Linked DNA regions of Anolis sagrei. The protein of the gene in region 1 interacts with the protein of each later gene in a biochemical or structural test. Links are inferred from orthologs where the notes say so. Each region holds a gene or a part of one and is shown on either strand. Other genes may lie near its edges.

What was found. The genes of interacting proteins can lie anywhere in the genome.
Region 2: the proteins of RDX (region 1) and ARHGDIA form a complex in vitro, tested with the Homo sapiens proteins (2 studies listed by BioGRID and IntAct). The link is inferred for Anolis sagrei from reciprocal best matches to the Homo sapiens genes RDX and ARHGDIA.

What each region holds. Positions count from the first base shown.
Region 1 is NC_090023.1:27,273,241-27,283,890, forward strand, and holds the start of RDX (radixin), read right to left. Parts: upstream 4,861-10,650; 5' UTR 4,623-4,860; intron 1-4,622. UniProt on the Homo sapiens protein: Probably plays a crucial role in the binding of the barbed end of actin filaments to the plasma membrane.
Region 2 is NC_090022.1:113,649,107-113,659,788, forward strand, and holds the start of ARHGDIA (rho GDP-dissociation inhibitor 1), read right to left. Parts: upstream 3,940-10,682; 5' UTR 3,833-3,939; intron 1-3,832. Other genes in the region: ALYREF (THO complex subunit 4), read right to left, coding at 8,132-8,146, 9,752-9,923, 10,339-10,402. UniProt on the Homo sapiens protein: Controls Rho proteins homeostasis. Regulates the GDP/GTP exchange reaction of the Rho proteins by inhibiting the dissociation of GDP from them, and the subsequent binding of GTP to them.

The DNA of each region.
Region 1 (10,650 bases):
TTTTAAAAAAAATTGTTCTACCATGAAGCAAGCTCAGAAATATGCTGCCCTCTTAAAAGTATAATCAAAACCTTGCCTCCTTGGTGTGGGAAGAAAAGGAAGATACAAAGAGCCTGGATAGAAATTTCTGACCTCAATGTACAATTACTGCTTCCTCCAATTGCTGGCAACCTCTTGGGACTCTTCCCACACCCAAGAGACTGTGACGGAGGGGGCTGGGTAGACATTTGGTAGCTGCTGACATGCAAAACGTGTTAACAGTGTGCTTGTCCCCATTTGCAACAAGTAGACAAGCCACATGGTGGAGATGTTTTTAGTTCATCTTCCTCCTTTACCCCTAGGCATTTCCTCCACTCCATAAAATGATTAGTTTTACTGCACACATAGAAAGAGTGGGAAGAACAAAAACATCTTGATCCCTCTTGGATAGTAGTTGACTAAACAAGTTTATATTGGAAATCTCATAGCAAACAGTTCAAACACAGTTCCTAACCAAACACAAGAACTTCAGCTTGGACTGCGAAAGACCTGCTGCTGGATCTCAGGGATGCTTTCCATTATACAAAAAATGAGTTACTCCTGAGATATTCAGTGAAATCTTCCTTTACTCCCTACAAATTAGGCTGCCCAGCTTCTATCCCAAAGGGCACTTTGTTGTTACGAATCTTCAAGCTATAGCTGATTTATGGCGAACCTATCATGGGGTTTTCTTGGCAAGACTTGTTCAGAGAGAGTTTACCATGATTGCTTTCTTCTTACTTGTTTTTAGGTCCCACTGTGCTCAGGCAAGCAACTTTCCGTAAATGTATGACAACCTTAAGATCCTTCCCACACAGTAGCCAAGAAATCCAAAGAAATGAAAAAGGTGGGGAGAATAAATGAAAAGAGGTCTGACCCCTTTTTTTGCCTCATTTTGACACACAAGCACTTGATCAAACTACATAGAGACCTTTCATCAAATGTTAGCACAGTGCATGAATCAGTGACACTTTTTACTTCAAGGAAGGGAGGTGGGAAAGGGAGAGACGGAAGGCAAAGAAAAGGAGAAGGCAGGGAATAAAAGGAGCCACTCTGGGATGGGAAATGGCCAGGGCGGAGGAATTATATCCAGCTCTTAAAAACAGGAGGAGGAAATTCCAGGGGCCAGTCCGAACTGCAGAATTATAGCAGATTGACACCACTTTAACTGCCACGGCTCGATGCTATGGGGTTCTGGGAGGTGTAGTTTGCTGAGACATTAGCACTCTTACCATAACCGGCTGTTAGGAATTGTGGGAGTTAAAGTCCAAAACACCTGGAGGGCCAACATTTGCCCTAACTAGCTATGTGTTGAAGTCCAAAACATCTGGAGCGCCGAAGTTGGCTCATGTCTGGCGTAGAACTAGGATTCCACAACACGGAGCTATGGCAATCAATGTGGTATCAAACCATTCATTCTATAGTGTAGAGATTTGCTGTAGCACCCGAGAAGGCAAAATATCCCACCAAACTGTAAATCCCAGAATTCTATAAAACTAAGACGTTCTAGTTAAAAGTGGTGCCACTGCTGCAACAATGCAGCAGTGGCTTACATCTCTGGCGGGTGAAAGGGTCTGGCCCCTTATTTGGGTATTTTTTTTATTATGTCTGTTTTATGTGGCATCTAACTGTTACCTATTGTAAGGTCACTCTGAGTCCCCTTTGGAGTGAGAAAGGTGGGCTAGAAATATAGTAAAATAAATAAATAAATATTGAAGTGCATAGTACAATAAATAATAAATAAATATTATAATAAATAAATAAATAAATAAATATTGCAGCATAGTATAATATAGTAATATATAACACTAATATTGTGCTGTGCTAATAATATAATATATTGTATGTACTTATAACATTAATCATAATACTGTAATATAGGCATCCTCAAACTGCACCCCTCCAGCTGTTTAGGCCTTCAACTCCCAGAATTCCTGACAAATGAACAAGCTTGTTAGAGCTTCTGGGAGTTGGAGGCCCAAACAACTGGAGGGCTGCAGTTTGAGGATGCCTGCTGTAATACAATATAATACTAATAATAATTCAATATAATAATTATTATTTATTATATATTACATGTAATACTACTAATTATATTGCAGCATAGTACAATATAGTACTATATACTAATATTGTGCTATGCTAATATTATATATTGCATGTACATATAATATTGATCATAATACCGTAATACAATATAATACTACTAATACAATATAATAATATTATTATATATTATATATTACATGTAATATTACTAATAACAATGCAGTATAGTGGTACAATACAATATAGTTATATATAATACTAATATTGTGCTATGCTAATAATATAATATGTTATATGTACCTATAATATTGATCATAATAGCAAAATATAATATAATAGTAATATATAAATTTTTTTTGTCGTGTCAGGAGTGACCTGAGAAACTGCAAGTCGCTTCTGGTGTGAGAGAATTGGCCGTCTGCAAGGACATTGCCCAAGGGACGCCCGGATGATTTGATGTTTTATCATCCTTGTGGGAGGCTTCTCACATGTCTTCGCATGAGGAGCTGGAGCTGTTAGAGGGAGCTCATCCGCCTCTCCCTGGATTCGAACCTGGGACCTGTCGGTCTTGAGTCCTGCCGGCACAAGGGTTTAACCCACTGCGCCACCGGGGGCTCCATATATAATACTAACAATATAATACTAATATATAATACTAATACTAATATAATACATATATAATACTAATAGTGTGCTATAACAATAATATAATCTAATATATTGTATTGTACATATAACTTGTAAACAGGGGCGGCTCAACTATTATGCAAAGTAAGCCTTTGCAGTATAGTTGATTTTGCCCAGGGGCGCTCTTGAGGCGCTCTTGGGGGAAAATAGACCTTGACATATGCGAGTTGTAGTTACTGGGATGTATAGTTCACCTACAATCAAAGAGCATTCTGAACTCCACCAATGATGGAATTGAACCAAATATGGCACACAGAACTCCTACGACGAACAGAAAATATATATCAGTGATTGGTTGGGGAGGGGGGTGCCAAAATACTGTTTGCTTACCATTGAAAATTACTTAGGGTCGCCTCTGCTTGTAAGCCGCTCTGTATCCCCTTCAGGGTGAGAAGGGTGGGGTATAAATGCCATAGTCACTGCTGAATGTTTTTATGTTGAATGTTTTATGTTGAATGTTTTTATATTGAATGTTTTTATATTGAATGTTTTATATTGTGTATAAACTGTTTTAAATTGTAAGTCGCTCGGAGCACCTTGGAGGAGAGTGACTAATTAAGAAATAAAGTGATGATGATGATATAAATGTCGTAAATGAATAAATAATAAATAAATAAATAAGGGAAGCCTGGGCTCCTTGTCGCCTCTTCCACAAAAGCTAAGGCTCACCAATGCAGTTCGACACCACTTCCAAGCGCCAAGGCTCAACGCTGGAAGTTGTAGTTTGCAGTTTAGAGAAGGCTAAGGACATTTTAAAATTAGGACTCCTGGGATTCCATAGCGGTGAGCCGTGGATGCTAAAAGTGGTGCCAAACTGCATTAATTCTGCAGTGTAGAGCAGGCCTGGGCAAACTTGGGCCCTCCAGGTGTTTTGGACTGCATCTCCCACCATTCCTAACAGCCTCAGGCCCCTTCCTTTTCCTCCTCTGCCTCTTAAGCTTAGGAATGGTGGGAGTTGCAGTCCAAAACACTTGGAGGGCCCAAGTTTGGCCATGCTTGATGTAGAGCAGTGGTTCTCAACCTTCCTAATGCCATGACCCCTTAATACAGTCCCTCATGTTGTGGTGACCCCCAACCATAATATTGTTTTCGTTGCTACTTCATAACAGTCATTTTGCTACTGTTATAAATCATAATGTAAATATCTGATATGCAAGATGTATTTTCATTCACTGGACCAAACTGGGCACAAATACCCAATACACCCAAATGTGAATGCTAGTGGGGTTGGGGGAGGATTGATTTTGTAATTTGGGAGTTGTAGTTGCTGGGATTTATAGTTCACTTATAATCAAAGAGCATTCTGAACTCCACCAGCGATGGATTTGAACCAAACTTGGTTCCCATGACCTATGGAAAACACTGGAAGGGTTTGATGGGCATGGACCTTGAGTTTGGGAGTTGTAGTTCACCTATATCCAGGGAGCACTGTGGACTCATGCTATGGTGGATCTGGACCAAACTTGGCACGAATACTCAATATGCCCAAATGTGAACACTGGTGGAGTCTGGGGAAAATAGATCTTGACATTTGGGAGTTGTAGTTGCTGGGCTTTATAGTTCATTACAATCAAAGAACATTCTGAACCCCACCAATGATAGAATTGGCTCAAACTTCCCACATGGAATCCCCATTACTATCGGAAAATACTGTTTTTTATGGTCTTTGGCGACCCCTCTGACACCCCCTCGCGACCCCCTCAGGGGTCCCGACCCCCAAGTTGAGAAACACTGATGTAGAGGCTCCCCTACTTATCTAAACCGCTAGAAACTCCATGTGCATCCCAGGCGTTTGAGGAGAACGGCGAGGGAGGGAGGCAGGGCAAGAGCAAGGCCTGAGGCAAGCCGCCGGCGTCCTTCCTTCTTACCTCCCTGGCGGGGGCTGCGACTTCTCTCTCCTCTTGGCCGGCCTTTTGGTCTCCCGGCGGCCTTGGGCGTCAAGAGGGCGGCAGAGCCGGCCAGGAGGCGCTGCGGGGCCGCTCCGAGCGCCACTCTTCTCCTCAGGGCTCCCCAGCTGACTGGCCTCCGGCGCAAAGAGCGGCAAACGCCGCCGCCTCCGCTGACAGCGCCGCAATATGGCGGCCGCGAGCCTTGGGTAGATATATATATATATATATATTTTAATTCTCGCCCCTCTCGGAGTTGTTGGCGCATGCGCACGGAAGGGAGCGAGAAAGGGCGCACGCGCACCGCACTGGGATGAAGCGACTACTCTGAAGTCTATTTGGGGGGAAAGGATGCGTAGGAGAGAGAGAGAGAGAGAGTTGGGAAAGTCGTTAAGGAGCGACCGTTGGTCAGGGTGTCACGTGGGATGAGAGGGGGGCGCGAGGAGCCTATAAAAGGGGATTCCGCCTATAAAAGGGGAGCGCTGAGAGGATTCTCTCCTCATTCTAGAGGGGGAAAGCAAAGTGAAGGGTCCCTTCACATTCAATATAATCAGGCCTCTTCCACGCAGCTGAATAAAATCCAACATTTTCTGCTTTGAATTGGAATATTTATTTATTTATTTAAAAGTTTTGCATACCGACCTTCTCACCTCTCCTGAGGGACTCAGACCGGTTTCCAACCATAATATCACATACAATCAATAAAACATCATAATGCATATTACAGTAAAACATTAAAACAGCAATTACAGTCAATCTAAAAACATATAATAACGAGTTAAAATACATATCAATTAAAATTACAAATAAGTCAAATCGCCAAGATAAAATCATGTCCAACTCAGGCAGTATGTCCAACTCAGTGCGTGTTATCTGAGTGTGGATTCAGATAACCCAGTTCAAAGCAGATATTGTGGGTGTTATTCAATTGTGTAGAAAGGGCCCCAGATAATTCAGGACCCTTCCACACAGCTCCATATCCCAGAATATCAAGGCAGAAAATCCCACATCTGAGTGTGGAGTCAGATAACTCAGTTCAAAGCAGATATTGTGGGTGTTATCCAACTGTGGAAAGGGCCTCAGATAACTCAGGGCCCTGCCACACAGCTCCATATCCCAGAATTTCGAGACAGAAAATCCCACATCAAGGCAGAAAATCCCACATTATCTGAGTGTGAACTCGGCCCTTCCACACAGCCCTATATCCCAGAATATCATGGCAGAAAATCCCACATTATCTGAGTAGCATTTAAGACTTTTAGATCCACTATTTGCTCAAAAGCAATACTACCATCACACCTGCATTTGATTTTTAAAAGCTTGTCAATCATGATGACATTCTGTGCATAGGCATATCAAATATAACTTCTAAAGTCTCTCTGTGTGTGTGCCTTCCACCTTCTTGCATATTTATCAAGGAGATATTTATAAGATATGCAGATGCTGAGCCTCCAGCAAAGGATCACTGCCTTGTCGGGGCGCTGGAGCTTGAGCACCTCAATGATGTCATGAGCGAAACCGTGAAGGGCCACCCAAGACGGGACGGTTGTGGCAGAGAGGTCAGACCAAGCGTGATCCCTGGGGAAGGCAATGGCAAACCACTCCAGTATCCTTGCCAAGAAAACTAAATGGACCAGTACAAACAGAGATATGTCGGTATGCCATTGGAAGATGGGACTCCCAGGTCGGAAGATGGCCAAAATGCTACTGGGGAGGAGCAGAGGATAAGTTCAACTAGCCCCAGATGTGATGACGCAGCTAGCTCAAAGCCGAAAGGAAGGCTAGCGGCCGACGGTACTGGAGGCGAACGACGAATCCGATGCTCTAAAGATCAACACACCATAGGAACCTGGAATGTAAGATCTATGAGCCAGGGCAAATTGGATGTTGTTATTGGTGAGATGTCAAGACTAAAGATAGACATTCTGGGGGTCAGTGAACTGAAATGGACTGGAATGGGCCACTTCACATCAGATGACCACCAGATCTACTACTGTGGACAAGAGGAACATCGAAGAAATGGAGTAGCCTTCATAATTAATAAGAAATTCGCTAAAGCGGTGCTTGGATACAACCCAAAAAATGACAGAATGATCTCAATTCGAGTGCAAGGAAAGCCTTTCAACATCACAGTGATCCAAATATACGCCCCAACCACAGCTGCTGAAGAAGCAGAAGTAGATCAGTTCTATGAGGATCTGCAGGACCTACTGGATAATACACCAAAAAGAGACATTATTTTCATTACAGGAGACTGGAATGCCAAGGTGGGAAGTCAAATGACAACTGGGATCACAGGCAAGCATGGTCTGGGAGAACAAAATGAAGCGGGACGCAGGCTGATAGAATTCTGCCAGGAAAACTCGCTGTGTATAACGAATACTCTCTTCCAACAACCTAAAAGACGGCTTTATACATGGACCTCACCAGATGGTCAACACCGAAATCAGATTGACTACATCCTTTGCAGCCAAAGGTGGCGGACATCCATCCAGTCGGTGAAAACAAGACCTGGGGCTGACTGTAGCTCAGATCACGAACTTCTTATTGCCCAATTTAGAATAAAACTAAAGAGATCAGGGAAAATACACAGACCAGTTAGATATGATCTCACTAACATTCCTAGCGAATATACAGTGGAAGTGAAGAACAGATTTGAAGGACTAGATTTAGTAAACAGAGTCCCAGAAGAACTATGGACAGAAGTCCGCGACATTGTTCAGGAGGCGGTTCAAGTTCATTGTTCAAGTTCTTGGTGGGATGGGCATCCCAAGCCACCTTGTCTCTCTCCTGAGGAATCTGTACAAGGACCAAGTAGCAACAGTCAGAACTGACCACGGAACAACAGACTGGTTCAAGATTGGGAAAGGCGTACGGCAAGGCTGCATACTCTCACCCAACCTTTTTAACTTGTATGCAGAACATATCATGCGATGTGCGGGGCTGGATGAATGCAAAGCTGGGGTGAAAATTGCTGGAAGAAACATTAACAACCTCAGATATGCAGATGACACCACTCTGATGGCCGAAAGCGAGGAGGAGCTGAGGAGCCTTCTAATCAAGGTGAAAGAAGAAAGCGCAAAAGCCGGGTTGCAGCTAAACGTCAAAAAAACCAAGATTATGGCAACAAGAATGATTGACAACTGGAAAATAGAGGGAGAAACCGTGGAGGCCGTGACAGACTTTGTATTTCTAGGTGCAAAGATTACTGCAGATGCAGACTGTGGCCAGGAAATCAGAAGACGCTTACTTCTTGGGAGGAGAGCAATGTCCAGTCTCGATAAAATAGTGAAGAGTAGAGACATCAGACTGGCAACAAAGATCCGCCTAGTCAAAGCCATGGTATTCCCTGTAGTAACCTACGGATGTGAGAGCTGGACCTTAGGGAAGGCTGAGCGAAGGAAGATCGATGCTTTTGAGCTGTGGTGTTGGAGGAAAGTGCTGAGAGTGCCGTGGACTGCGAGAAGATCCAACCAGTCCATCCTCCAGGAAATAAAGCCCAACTGCTCACTGGAGGGAAAGATACTAGAGACAAAGTTGAAGTACTTTGGCCACATCATGAGGAGACAGGAAAGCCTAGAGAAGACAATTATGCTGGGGAAAGTGGAAGGCAAAAGGAAGAGGGGCCGACCAAGGGCAAGATGGATGGATGGCATCCTTGAAGTGACTGGACTGACCTTGAGGGAGCTGGGGGTGGTAACGGCCGACAGGGAGCTCTGGCGTAGGCTGGTCCATGAGGTCACGAAGAGTCGGAGACGACTGAACGAATGAACAACAACAATGCTGAGCAGAAAATGTTTGAAAAGAGTGTGGAATTAGAGATGTTCAGGTAGTCAAGACATCCTGCCTTTTTGATGTTGCTGTTTGACTTCTGCATATGAATTGAGATGTTATCTTTTGCAGAGTCATCAGTGGCTATGGGCCCTTCTACACAGCCCTATGTCTCAGAATATCAAGGCAGAACATCCCACATTATCTGAGTGTGGACTCAGATAACCCAGTTCAAAGCAGATAATCTGGGATTTTCTGCCTTGATCTTCTGGGATATAGGGCTGATATTGTGCCACCCAAAATATCAAGGCAGAAAATCCCACATTATCTGTGTGTGGATTCAGATAACCCAGTTCAAAGCAGATATTGTGGGATTTTCTACCTTGATATTTTGGGATATAGGGCTGTGTGGAAGGGCCCCCAGAATCTCAAGGCAGAAAATCTCACAATATCTGCTTTGAACTGGGTTATCGGAGACCCTCTGCTTTGAACTGGAGATGTGGGGTTTTATTCAGCTGTGTGGAAGGGGCCTCAGATAACTTAGGGTTGCCCTAAGTCTGAAATGACTTGAAGTTACACACAACAACAATCCTTATTAATTGTCGAAGGCTTTCATGGCCGGAATCACTGGGTTGTTGCCCGAAAAAACCTACAACAATCCTAATTAACTTGACTATGTCATCAGAGCATTGAAATACTGGTAAGTTTATGTTGGTTAAAATTATTATTTGTTTTAAATATTGGGTTTTTTGTTGTTGGTTTTTGCACCATAAATACTATTTGTACAGTGTGCATAGGAATTTGTTCTTTAAAAGTTTGTGGATCCGTGTTCTAGACTGATCAGACTCTAGAGTGGAAGGGAAAAGGAACCAGTAATAAAGAAAAATAGTTGGAAATGGGACAGAAGGGACAACAATGTGAGGGTACATTTACTTTGTAGATGACACCACTTTAACTAACTGCCATGGTTCAAAGCTATGGAATCCTGGGAGTTGTAATTTTATAAGACCTCTCACCTGCAGCCAGGGGAGCAGATGGAAATAAGAGGTTTCTCACTGAAGAAAAATTGAATACTAGTACATTAGATGTAAAGTGGGTTTCTTCTCACTATAATTTTTCCCTTGCCACCTAAACTCACTGTATAAAAAACAAAAACAAAACTCAGACCCACTAGAGTTGAATGTTGTCTTTTGAGCATTGTTTCCCTTTCCTCTCTGGTAATAACCAGAAAGAAGCAATGCACAAAGGGAGGCCAAGTTTTCCCCTTTTGTTTTGGATAAAATGCAGTTCGAGGCACAGCAGGAATAAGGGAGAAAAAGAGAGTTCAGGACGAAGAGGGCCAAGAAATAGTTGAGTTACCAAACCTGAGTCATGTAAGAGCTATTAATATAACAGGCTTCTTACAGTCTTCTAAGAGCCTGAGGATGAATAGAGAGAAATTTCCAATTAGAAGACACAGGAAGAAGAGCAAATCAGGAGAAGGGGGAGAAATCTCATTGCAAGGAAGCATATGGTAAAAATGTCCCTTGAGAAGTAATGGGTGCTTCATAATTAAAGTACCATAATCAAATTAGTCAGGGCAAATCATGGATTGATATAGAGTAATCTGATCAAAAGGAGTAGAGCAAGTCGACATCAGATATTTATTGGTCTTATTCATTTCTATAATAAGGCAGATTCCTATCTACATTAAAAAAATATTCAAGCTTTCCCTATTCAATGTAGTAAATATTTAAAACATATATAATTGGCATGCAACAAGGAGCGGATGGCTTTTTTCTTCAAGGGCCCCCTCCCCTCATTGGAAATAGAAATTATAAAATATCCCCTCATGGATATTTTAAAATATTTCTTAACTGATTTTCATTACTATAATTTCTCAAACAATACAGTAACACTTGTAAATGGCAAATTATAAATCTACATTACATTGGATTGGTTTTAAACAACTCTACTAAAATATGATGCCATATAGTTCCAAGATGAGACAGTATGATATAGTGCTTTGGCTACTGGAGTATTATTATTATCATTATTAATATAATTATATTATTCATGTCCTGCTTTTCTCTCTTGATCAAGACCCAATGCAGTTATGGCTCTGGCGACAATGGGTCCCAAGATACCATTATTAGTATTATTTAAAAGGGTATAAAAACAATGTTCCTTTAATCAGAGTGAAATTGTCACCAGGGCTGACTGGTGATGGTGTCATCAAAAGTTTATTTATTTATTTACT
Region 2 (10,682 bases), on another chromosome or scaffold:
AGTAAATACTGAGAAGTAGCCCAGAAACATTAAGGGGCTTCGTATTCTTCAACATTTGAAGACAAACACAGCAAGAGAGGGGATGTATATTCCCTCTTCATATGCATTGTGTGCAAATATACAACAACTCTTTCGCTAGGGTACGTACTGCATTTAAGCAGCTTTACTCTCTTTATCATAAATAACGACAATTTGGAGGATGATTGTTTTAGAGCCTCATCCTTTATTGTGTGCAGAAGCATCTTCACACACAACAGAACGTTTGTTTGTTTGTTTTTTAACCACCATCTGCAGATCTGAGAAGTTCACATCTGGTTTTCATATGCTTTGCTAAAAATATGAGTAACTTGTGCAGATAATACTTATATGTTTGGCAGGCACCTCTATGCTCTAAAAGCTAACTAGAGAACAATTAGTATGACAGCCATTTAGCTGAGATAATGAGGACACTGACCTGGCATCCTACTTTCTAAATCCCCAAAATAGACTGCAATTTCCTTAGTCATTTTAACATTTTAGGGTCATTAAATCAGATGCCAAAAAGTGAAAGCCATGTGCAATATAATCTGCACAAAAATATATGTTTGCTGAACTTTGCATTCAATAATGATCCAACTGCTGAAACCTTAACAGCAGGTATTATACCCTGTGATGTTTCTGAATGTGTAGCAACAGTTGTATGGCCCGCAAGTGATTATTGTATATAGGTGACTACAATAGTCACCTCTTAAAAGAAATCAGCTCTCACAGAAGATTTATTTTATAATAGGGATCCCCAAACCAAGGCCCATGGGGTGGATGCGGTCCTTCGAGGTCATTTACCCAGTCCGACCTAAATTTATACTTAGGGTCACCCTAAGTCTGAAATGACTTGAAGGCACACAATAACAATTGTAATTAACTTGACAAATCTCTTTAGCCAAAAGCAGGCCCACTCTTCCCACTGAAATACTGATAAATTTATGTTGGTGAAAACTGTTCTTCATTTAAAATATTGTGTTGTCCTTTCATAGTTTTTTGCACTACAAATAAGATACGTGCAGTGCACACAGGAATTCGTTCACTTTTTTTTCAAACTACAGTCCAGCCCCTAACAATCTGAGGGACCATGAACTGGTCCTCTGCTTAAAAGGTATTTTGCATTATAAGCTTCTGCCTCGGTCTATAACGCAGCAGCCACATGGAGACACTATGTGTCAGAGAAAGGGCTCAAAGTCAAAGACAGGCTTCCAAATATCTCTAGCTGTCAAGGCCACAAGGGATATCACACAAAATACTCAAGAAAGAAAGAAAGAAACTGTGGAACAAATAGCGGTAAAAGTATGAAAGCTGGGACCGAGTGCTAGTAGTGCTATGCTGATTCCGGAATGGTGGTTGTGAATGAGGACCAGGTGTGTGACCACGTGGTCAAGAGAATGGGCGGAATGAGAGATGCATGCGGATTCCTTTACTTCCCTTAAGCACAATGCTCCTCTGTTTATTGTTCCCCTTTCTTTCTGTTCCCCCCCCCTTTCTGACCCGTGATGGGGTCATCTTCCATTCCTCTATTCTGAACCGCCTTGCTCACGTAGCGTACCGTTAGGTCCCAGCTATACTATCACCGACCTGTTAAATTACTTCACTGTTATTTGTGTCCCGCTTGCATTAACTGAGTTCAGTGGTATCCTGCTGCCACATTACGCTATCAGCGTTGACGAAGCAGCATTGCGGAATCAGCATAACGCTTCCAGCACTTGGTCCCAGCTATCATACTTTCACCCAAATAAGAATTGCTTCCTTGCATCAAGGGCAGGAGTTATAGTTTAGGAGAAGCATAACCAAGACATATAGAATTCTTCAGCTTCCTGCCATAAAAGATTGAATTATTCTCAGCTGAATCCTCTTGAACTTGCTCCACATGAATTCTGGCTATATAAGCCTTCTCGACACAAGAAGAAAGTTCTAATGCTGAACTATCCCTGCCTACTTTAAAGGCTTTGAAACAGTATGAATCATTTCCCTGGCCACAGCAGTTCCCGTTAAGGAGGAGAGGCATTCCTCTTCAAGTCTACCTGAAAAGCAACCATTCATTCTGTCCATCTAAACCAGTGGTTCTCAACCTGTGGGTCCCCAGATGTTTGGCCTTCAATCCCCAGAAATCCTAATAGCTGGTAAACTGGTTGGGATTTTTGGGAGTTGTAGGCCAAAACACCTGGGGACCCACAGGCTGAGAACCACTGATAACCTAGCAACATGGGGGTTAATGTACTGCCGAAGGCTTTCATGGCTGGAATCACTGGGTTGTTGTAGGTTTTTCGGGCTGCATGGCCATGTTCTAGAAGCATTCTCTCCCGATGTTTCACCTGCATCTGTGGCAGGCATCCTCACACCTCACAACCTCTGAGGATGCCTGCTATAGATGCAGGCGAAACATCAGGAGAGAATGCTTCTAGAACATGGCCATCCAACCCAAAAAACCTACAACAACCCAACATGGGAATAAATGACAAGGGAATAAATGAACTACACAACACATCCTGATATGCCCTGACTCCAGCGAACACTAATACCACATACTGGCTGAAATGAAGCCCTGATCCATATCTATGCCCATTTACATCCCAAGATTTTTTCCCCTTCAGTGATTATAAAATCTCATATCAAAAGCAACCAAGCTTTTTAAAGTAGCTTAGAAATGACAAAGAATGGTTTCACACTTAGAATCACAAGAGTTGGAAGAGACCTCGTGGGCCATCCAGTCCAACCCCCAGTCAAGAAGCTGGAAAATCGCATTCAAAGCACCCCTGACAGATGGCCATCCAGCCTCTGCTTAAAAGTCTCCAAAGAAGGAGCCTCCACCGTGCTCCCGGGCAGAGAGTTCCACTGCTGAATGGCTCTCACAGTCAGGAAGTTCTTCCTAATGTTCAGGTGGAATCTCCTTTCCTGTAGTTTGAAGACAATATTCTGCATCCTAGTCCCCAGGGCAGCAGAAAACAAGCTTGCTCCTTCTTCCCTATGACTTTCCCTCACATATTCATACCTGGCCCTCATCATGTCTCCTTTCAGCCTTCTCTTCTGCAGGCTAAATATGCCCAGCTCTTTAAGCCACTCCTCATAGGGCTTGTTCTCCAGACCCTTGATGATTTTAGTCACCTATGACTTCCTCTCCCATATTTAATGGATACCATTCAAGAAACAGTGGGGCTTAAAAGGTATGAGATCCATCCCTGTCCCAAAGCATCCCTGCAAACAAGGTAGTGGTGCATGCACGGTATAGCGAAGATAGAGGCACTGCAGCAAATAGAAACCCGAATGGAGGTACATAGGAAGCTTTGCTTTCGGGCGCATACACCCTGATGAACTAATGCAGTCTGACCCCACTGACACTGCCCTGACTTAAGGCTATGGGATCCTGGGAGGTGTGTTTTTTTCCAAGGCCTTTAGTCCCTTCTGCCCAGGAGTGATGGTCCCTGGCTGAGAGGCCAATCCCGGGCTGCGAGAGCACTGAGGCAGGGCCGTGAGAGTGGTGTCCAACCGCAGTGTAGCTGCTGCCCGCTTTGTCTTGGCCTCCCTCCCCGCCCCGCAGAGAGCGCTCAGGGGCAGCCTGGCAGGCACGAGGCCAAGGCCGGTTTGTGGGAGGGAGCCCTGAGGCGCAGAAGGCTCCAAGGAAAGGAAAGGAAAGGAAAGGAAAGGAAGGGACCCCTCCTCGCGGGACCCACAAAGGGCCGGCCCGAGAGCGGCGGCACGCCCTTCCCGCTTCAGGGGCACCGCAGCCGTCCCAGGGAGGGGGAAAAGAGGGCGGAAGAAGGCCCGAGAAAGAGGCCCTTCCCTCGCTCGCCGGCACCCGCCTCACCTCCTCCTCCTCCTCGCCGCCGCCGCTGCTCCTGCTGCCACCTCCGGTGACAAGCGCCGCCGCCACCGCCCAAAATCCTCCACCCCGCCCCTGCGCGCGCACGCCTGCCCGCCCCCTTACTTCCGCGGTGCCACCTGACGTCACTTCCGGGTTTTTCCCCCCTTCATAACTCGCTCCACCCTTGTTTTGGATATAGAGTCCACTTCCGTCCTGCGCGCCCTACGTTGGTTACCAAGACGAAGGGAAGGAACTGCCAGCAAGCGAGCGGAGATCCTAGAGGGGCCCTTAGGAAAAAAAGTACCTTGAGGAAAGCTGAGTTGTGCTCTTCCTGGTGGAACAGAGCCCATTGTGGTGAATAAAGGGTGTCAGACCGCTAAGGAACCGCTAAGAGAGCCGCTTTGGCGCTGGATATTGGGGGTGCTTTTGGATCTGGCTCCTTCATCACGCTATCCACTTTAAATCCGGTTTCTTTAAAGGCTCTTCCCTAAACTACAAACCCCAGAATTCTGCAGGAGGCAGAAACCGGATTTAAAGTGGATTCATTCGCTAGTGTGATGAGGTCCCAGTTTGTGAATGAGTTCACCCAAGTATGTTTTTTCTTTGTGTCAGGAGCGACTTGAGAAACTGCAAGTTGCTTCTGGTGTGAGACAATTGGCCGTCTGCAAGGATGTTGTCCAGGGGACGCCTGGATGTTTTACCATCCGGTGGGAGGCTTCTCATGTGAAGCTGGATCCCATCTTGAAGATCCGAACCACTGACCTTCAGGTTAGCAGTCCTGTTGGCACAAGGGTTTAACTTACATGTCCGAACGCATCTCTCCTTATGAACCATCTAGGGCCTTAAGATTACCTGGGAAGGCCCTGCTCTCATTACCACCTTTGTTACCTTCGTATGTTTGGTGGAGACGAGAGACAGGACCTTCTTGGTGGTAGCCCCTCGGCTATGGAATGCCCTTCCTATAGATATTAGATCGGTCACCTCCCTTTTAACATTCTGGAAAAAAGTCAAGACATGGCTTTTTGAACAAGTGTTTCCAAATGTAGAATAACTGACATAGGAAAATGTCAGTTAGTCAAATGACAATGAGACCAGACATTTTTAACAAGGAGACACTATAAATTTATATTTTATTGATTTGTTTTAGTTTTTATTTGTTTAGTTTTTATTATTTGTTTTGTTTTTAATTATATTTATGATATTGTAAGCATTGAATTTTACTCTGATAACCGCTTTGAGTTGCCTACGGGCTGAGAAAGGCGGTATACAAATACAGTAAATAAATAATAACCCATTGCACCACCAAAGGCTCATCACCCAGGGATGAGGCCAGTCAATCAATAAATATTTGTGCCACTGAAGGGAGGATCCAATTGTCTCCCAGCAGATTGTGGATGCATCTACAATATACTATGGAACGAATGAAGTTTGACACAGCATTAACTGCTAAAGCTCAGTGTCCTAGAATCATGGAATTTGTAGTTTGGTAAGGCCCAGTATTCTTTGGCAGAAAAGGCTTTGCTTTGTTAAACTCCAGCTTTTATGATTCCATAGCATTGAGCCAAGGCAAATAGAGGAGTGTCTACTGCATGGATTCTACTGTGTTCACAATAGAATCACAGTAGAAACTTTGCCACCCCCAGGTTTTGTGGACTTCAACTCCCATAATTCCAAACAGTTAGTTTGGAATTGTGGTATGAACCTGCAAGGCCATTAAATGCTAATCAAGGTGGTCAATTGCAACATTCACACTTGCTACAAGCAGACAAGAGTTCTTAATGCACCCTTGACATTCCAGATATATAAACCCCCCTTGCCTAGACTCCAACAAATCTCAAAACCTCTGATAATGCCTGCCATAGATGTGGGCGAAATGTCGAGAGAATGCTTCTGGAACATCGCCATACAGCCTGGAAAACTCACAGCAACCCAGTGATTCCGGCCATGAAAGCCTTTGAGAACCCAGCTGGTAGGCTGTTACAAATTGTGGAAGTTCAAAAGTCCTGGGAGGATGTCCATGTCTGGTGTAGGTGCATGACCATGTCAACATTTTCAGTGCTGTGGTGTCTTTGGCTGCATAAAATCAGACTTGCTTGCTTGCAGCTATTGGTTCTAACTCGGGTTTAAACCACCAGGAGCACCTTCCGTCTCTTTACAGTGTATTGTAATGTAATAGGGCAACGTATCAGGCTCTGTAGCAGGGCAAACCCCTGAATGATGATGAATTCTTAAGGTGAAACTTAGCATGGGAAGTGTGCATCTAAGGTCCTGCTACAATTCTTCCTATGGATGTAAAGAAACTTTCTTGACATTACAGAAACAGTAATGTCAAGAAATTCAATAGTGCCTCTTCATTGGCCTCAGGAATGATATGTTTAAGCTCCCAAGTCAGTGACCGAAACAAGCAGCAGTCCACCATTGTATCACATGTATATTCTACTGTGAGTGAATGAACTTGTTCTTTATTACTTTCACGGCCACTAATAAAGACCTAAACAAACAAATCTAAGCCATGTCATGGCAATTAGATTGTGGCTTGTGGTATTTCAACTCGAGCCTGTTTGGTACAAATGTTCTATCAATTTTCAAAAATATTTTTAAAGAACCATGCTAAATTTGCATGCAGTACAAAGAGGTTTAAACTAGAATTCTCCATTACCCGTTCTTTAAAGGGGATCTCTATGTTGTACAAAAATATATGGTCTTATTCAAAAATATTGTTTCAAGATGCCATGTTTTGAGAACACCTTGCTCTATTTCTTAAATGAACACGGAGAAAATATCTTGATATTGGAAGACTCAAAGACTTGTCTGAGTTTTAAAGCCAAAGAAATATTTCACCACATGCTGAAGTTATGCGAGACTCCCCCCCCCCCCAATTAATATACTTTCTACACCAAATGTATATCATTATGAACAGGAACAGTTCTTTCAATGTTGTTTCAAATTCTGAAACTATTTACCATGATTATATTTTGCCTAATTATTTAGCAAGTTATCTATATATCATCTTTTAGACATTTAAACTGTGTCTTAAATTGATCATAGTGATATTATTGTAAACCTTCCCAAACTCTTTAGATCAAAGGAGGATATAAATATTTTAATAGATAAATCTAGATGTCCTACGACCACATTGAGCCATTTTTGCTAAATGTTTTCTTTTGACATCTGTGTTCAAAAGCAATATTTAAGGATTGGTCATTAAGTGTTGTGTAACTTTGCTATATTACTGTGCCATTTTTTTTTCAAATTACTGATGTAGCCACATTCCTTTGAGCATTAGAAAGCCATTGGCACAATACTATTCAGAAATTAATCTGAGATTTCAAAACTGATTCTTATTTGTCAAAACCCCCTATTATGGATGAAAAGATTATAATTCTACCTGCTGGTAGTGTTGCTATGTTATTCAGTTTATACCATTTGATTTGTAACACATTATTTTGACAGGTATTCTGTTTCCTCCCCGCCCTCCCCATTACTAGTACATAAGAACGAATAATAAAATTGCCAGAAAATTATGTGAAATAAGAATTCAGCAGGGAGTTGCAAGTTGAAAGACTAAATCTTTACTTGGCATGTTGGAGTCACTGAATTATCACAGTAACCATTTTACAGTAAAAATACTGAAGTGGGACCAGCACTGAACTTTGGAATCAAGTGTTTAATACAAAAATGACTTCAACAAGGGTTCTCCCCCTCTCCTTGATCACAAAGGGTAGATAGAGCCTTTTCATTGGATTCTACCCCCCACCTCCCTGAAAAAGTAGTCACACTGTTTGGCTTTAGCATAGAAAGGAGGAAGATAAACACACAGGAGATTGGAGATACAGAGTTTGTAAGCCCCAGCTGGTGGAGAGAGATCTGAATCTCTCCCTATGGGAAGCACAATGAGCACCAACACTTTTGCTAGGGGCCTGCAGGCAGATAGTTGCTCCCCTACCCGTCTTGGTTTCTGCAGTCTCAAAGCTGGACTCCAGCTGCAACAGGAAGCAGACATTTACAGCTCTAGACACATTTCTATTTTATTATTGCCATGGTTAAAAAGTCACCGTGGCCCAACTGGCAACCAGTAAATTTTTTCCCAAAAAATAACTCAGTACAAAACAGATCTGTTCCAGAATTTAAAAAAAAGAAAGAAACCTTTACATGAGTTTAAAACCTATTCCAAAACATAAAAGTAAAACAAATTCCATTCTTGATATTAGTAGCCGCCGCCATACACCTTTCCCCCTCCCGCTGGGGAGCATGGAATGAGATGTCTGCAGTCCTTCCCATGCACATGATGCACCAACAGGTTTAACTGGTGTCCATCTATGAAGGAAAAAAAACAGTTACTTGGTTGCTATCAGCTTAGGAAAAAGACAAGAAAGCCATAGGTTTGAGCAAACCCACTCCCCAGCAGCATAGATCAATCAAACCAATTATCACTTTGATTTTTTTTAAAAACCCAAGCTCTATTGTTTCCCCATCAAGATGGCAACATGCATTTCTTAGAGAACATCTTCAAAATACTGTATTTTTTTATTCTAAGACAGCAGTTGTAAGATACACACTACTTTCAGTACTACCAAGAAAAAACAAGGCCATATTTATATACATAAAAGGGCAACTGTGATTTTAAGGTGCATCCCATTTTTAGATATCTTTCTATGGCGAAAATGTTACTATAACTAAAGCGTGAGTCCACATTTTAAATACTTGTTTAATGATCATTTAATTAAAAATATCCTCCATATTATTATCAGTGATCACTATTTTACAGTGACAGTTTAACAAAAAAATTATAAAATTTCAAATATGTTGCTATTAATACAGAATCAACCCCAAAATATATTCCAAGTGCAAGAGCTACAACTTTTCACAGCAGTAGCATATCTGGTAAACTGTTGGTAAAGAAACTCCACAATGTCCAAATAAGTTATTTAATGTACCGTATATAGTCATGTATAAGTCAATCACATGTCAAGTGCACATCTTGAGGCTAAAATGATGGATTTTGATATGACCTGTGTGTGAATTGAGGGTCAATATGTGAAGAAGGGAAAACACCCTTTCAGGGCCACCTGACTCTGGCTACCACTACCATTTTCCCATCTAGGCATTCAAAAGGGCTAGAAGCCGTGCCACAGTCGAGGTGGGGGGGTTGGTCCTTCTTTTAAGTTCTCCCATATGAACTAAGCTCTTGATCTTTGCCAGTCCACTCCCAAGAAGAGAATGAATGCTTTTTAGAAAGGAGTTACATTATTTGTGGTCCCAGGGTTTTGGGGGCTGATTTCTTGACTAAAAGTTTAGACTTACACTTGAGTATATATTAGAAATGAATAAAACATACTATTAATAAATCAAGTAATCACAAGCATACTGCGTAAAGATCTCTATTTAATACTGCACAATTTCACTATGCCAGCTAATGGAAATCTAAAATCTAAATCCACACAGTATTTGAAGCTCAAGGGATATGGAATTAACACACACACATGCTGCCAGCGAGATTCTAATTTTGAATCATGTCTAGATGATTTGAATAGGAGACTACAAAGCAGCAGACTGTGAAAGATGTGAAACTGTGGAAGATGTCACTTTGCAAACTCTGATATATTGAACCAGCATTCTACTATAAAGTTCAGTGATTTGTAAAATCTAATAGTTGATTTTACAAGAAACACACTTTGTCTTGCTGGAACTTCTCTACATACATGAGATCAGTTCATACATTCAATAAAAAGGGCAGTAAGTAGAAATGCAAGGAAAAGCACAACATACATCCCAGCATCCAGGCAAAATTACTACCATATTCATGTATTGTACTTTTTTTTGAAGCTGTACCCTTTCATCGGAAGACCAATACCACTAGCTTGCACCACTAATACTAACAGACTCATTTGTCCCTCTCCCCCAGCTCCTGCTGGTACTTACCCTGGCATTGTAAGCATCCAACTGTGCATCCAATTCTTCAGCAGAGAGTTGCTGTTTGGAACTTCTGCCTGCACCTCGACCTCTCCCTCTGCCACCACGGCTACCTCGTCTGTTGCCACCACCAAAGCCACCTGATCCACCACGGTTTCTGGTCATGCCTCCTCTATTTATGCTAAAATCAAAAGAAAGACTAAATTAGAAGCACAGTAAGTAATTTGAAAAAGGGAAAATACAAGTTATATATTCTATGAAGTACTCTGAAAGTAGATGAAGTATGGCAACATGGCTGAAAGTTTTAAAAATCATTCTGAAAAACCCACAAGGATTCAGGATAGGAAGTGCTCTTATGCAATCAAAATTCATATAGCATTCCTTTTTAGCAGTTCCTAAAGCTGAAGTTACTACGTAACATTAATTAGCAGGCATCATTTAATTGTATTTTTAAATTGTTTTCCTTTTATGCTCTGTCTTTAGGCACCTTGTGCTGTGTGTAAGCCGCCTCAAGTCCCTTCGGGGAGATGGTGGCGGTATAAAAGAACAAACTTATTATTATTATCATCATCATCAATAAAGATTAAATCTCCTACCTCTGTATTGGTCTCCTCTGTGTATCTATTTGTGATGTAACCAGTTGGATATTCATGGGACGTCCTAAAAATAAAAAGGATATGCATCACAAGGGTTATTAGTCCAAAAACCTTACTAGTCTGTAAAATAATGCTAAAATACTTCTTTCAAGAACCAAGGGTTGGAAGCTTCTCAGGACCATACCATTTTAAACTGTCTTCTTGGTTTCTATGCCAAAAAAAACAGATTCTCCATTCTTCCTTTGCCACCCTCTTACATAGAATAATACATACACACTCCAAACACATTTCCTTGTTATTTGTAGCTACCAGAGAAATACTTAAATTCAAGGCTAGCTTATCTC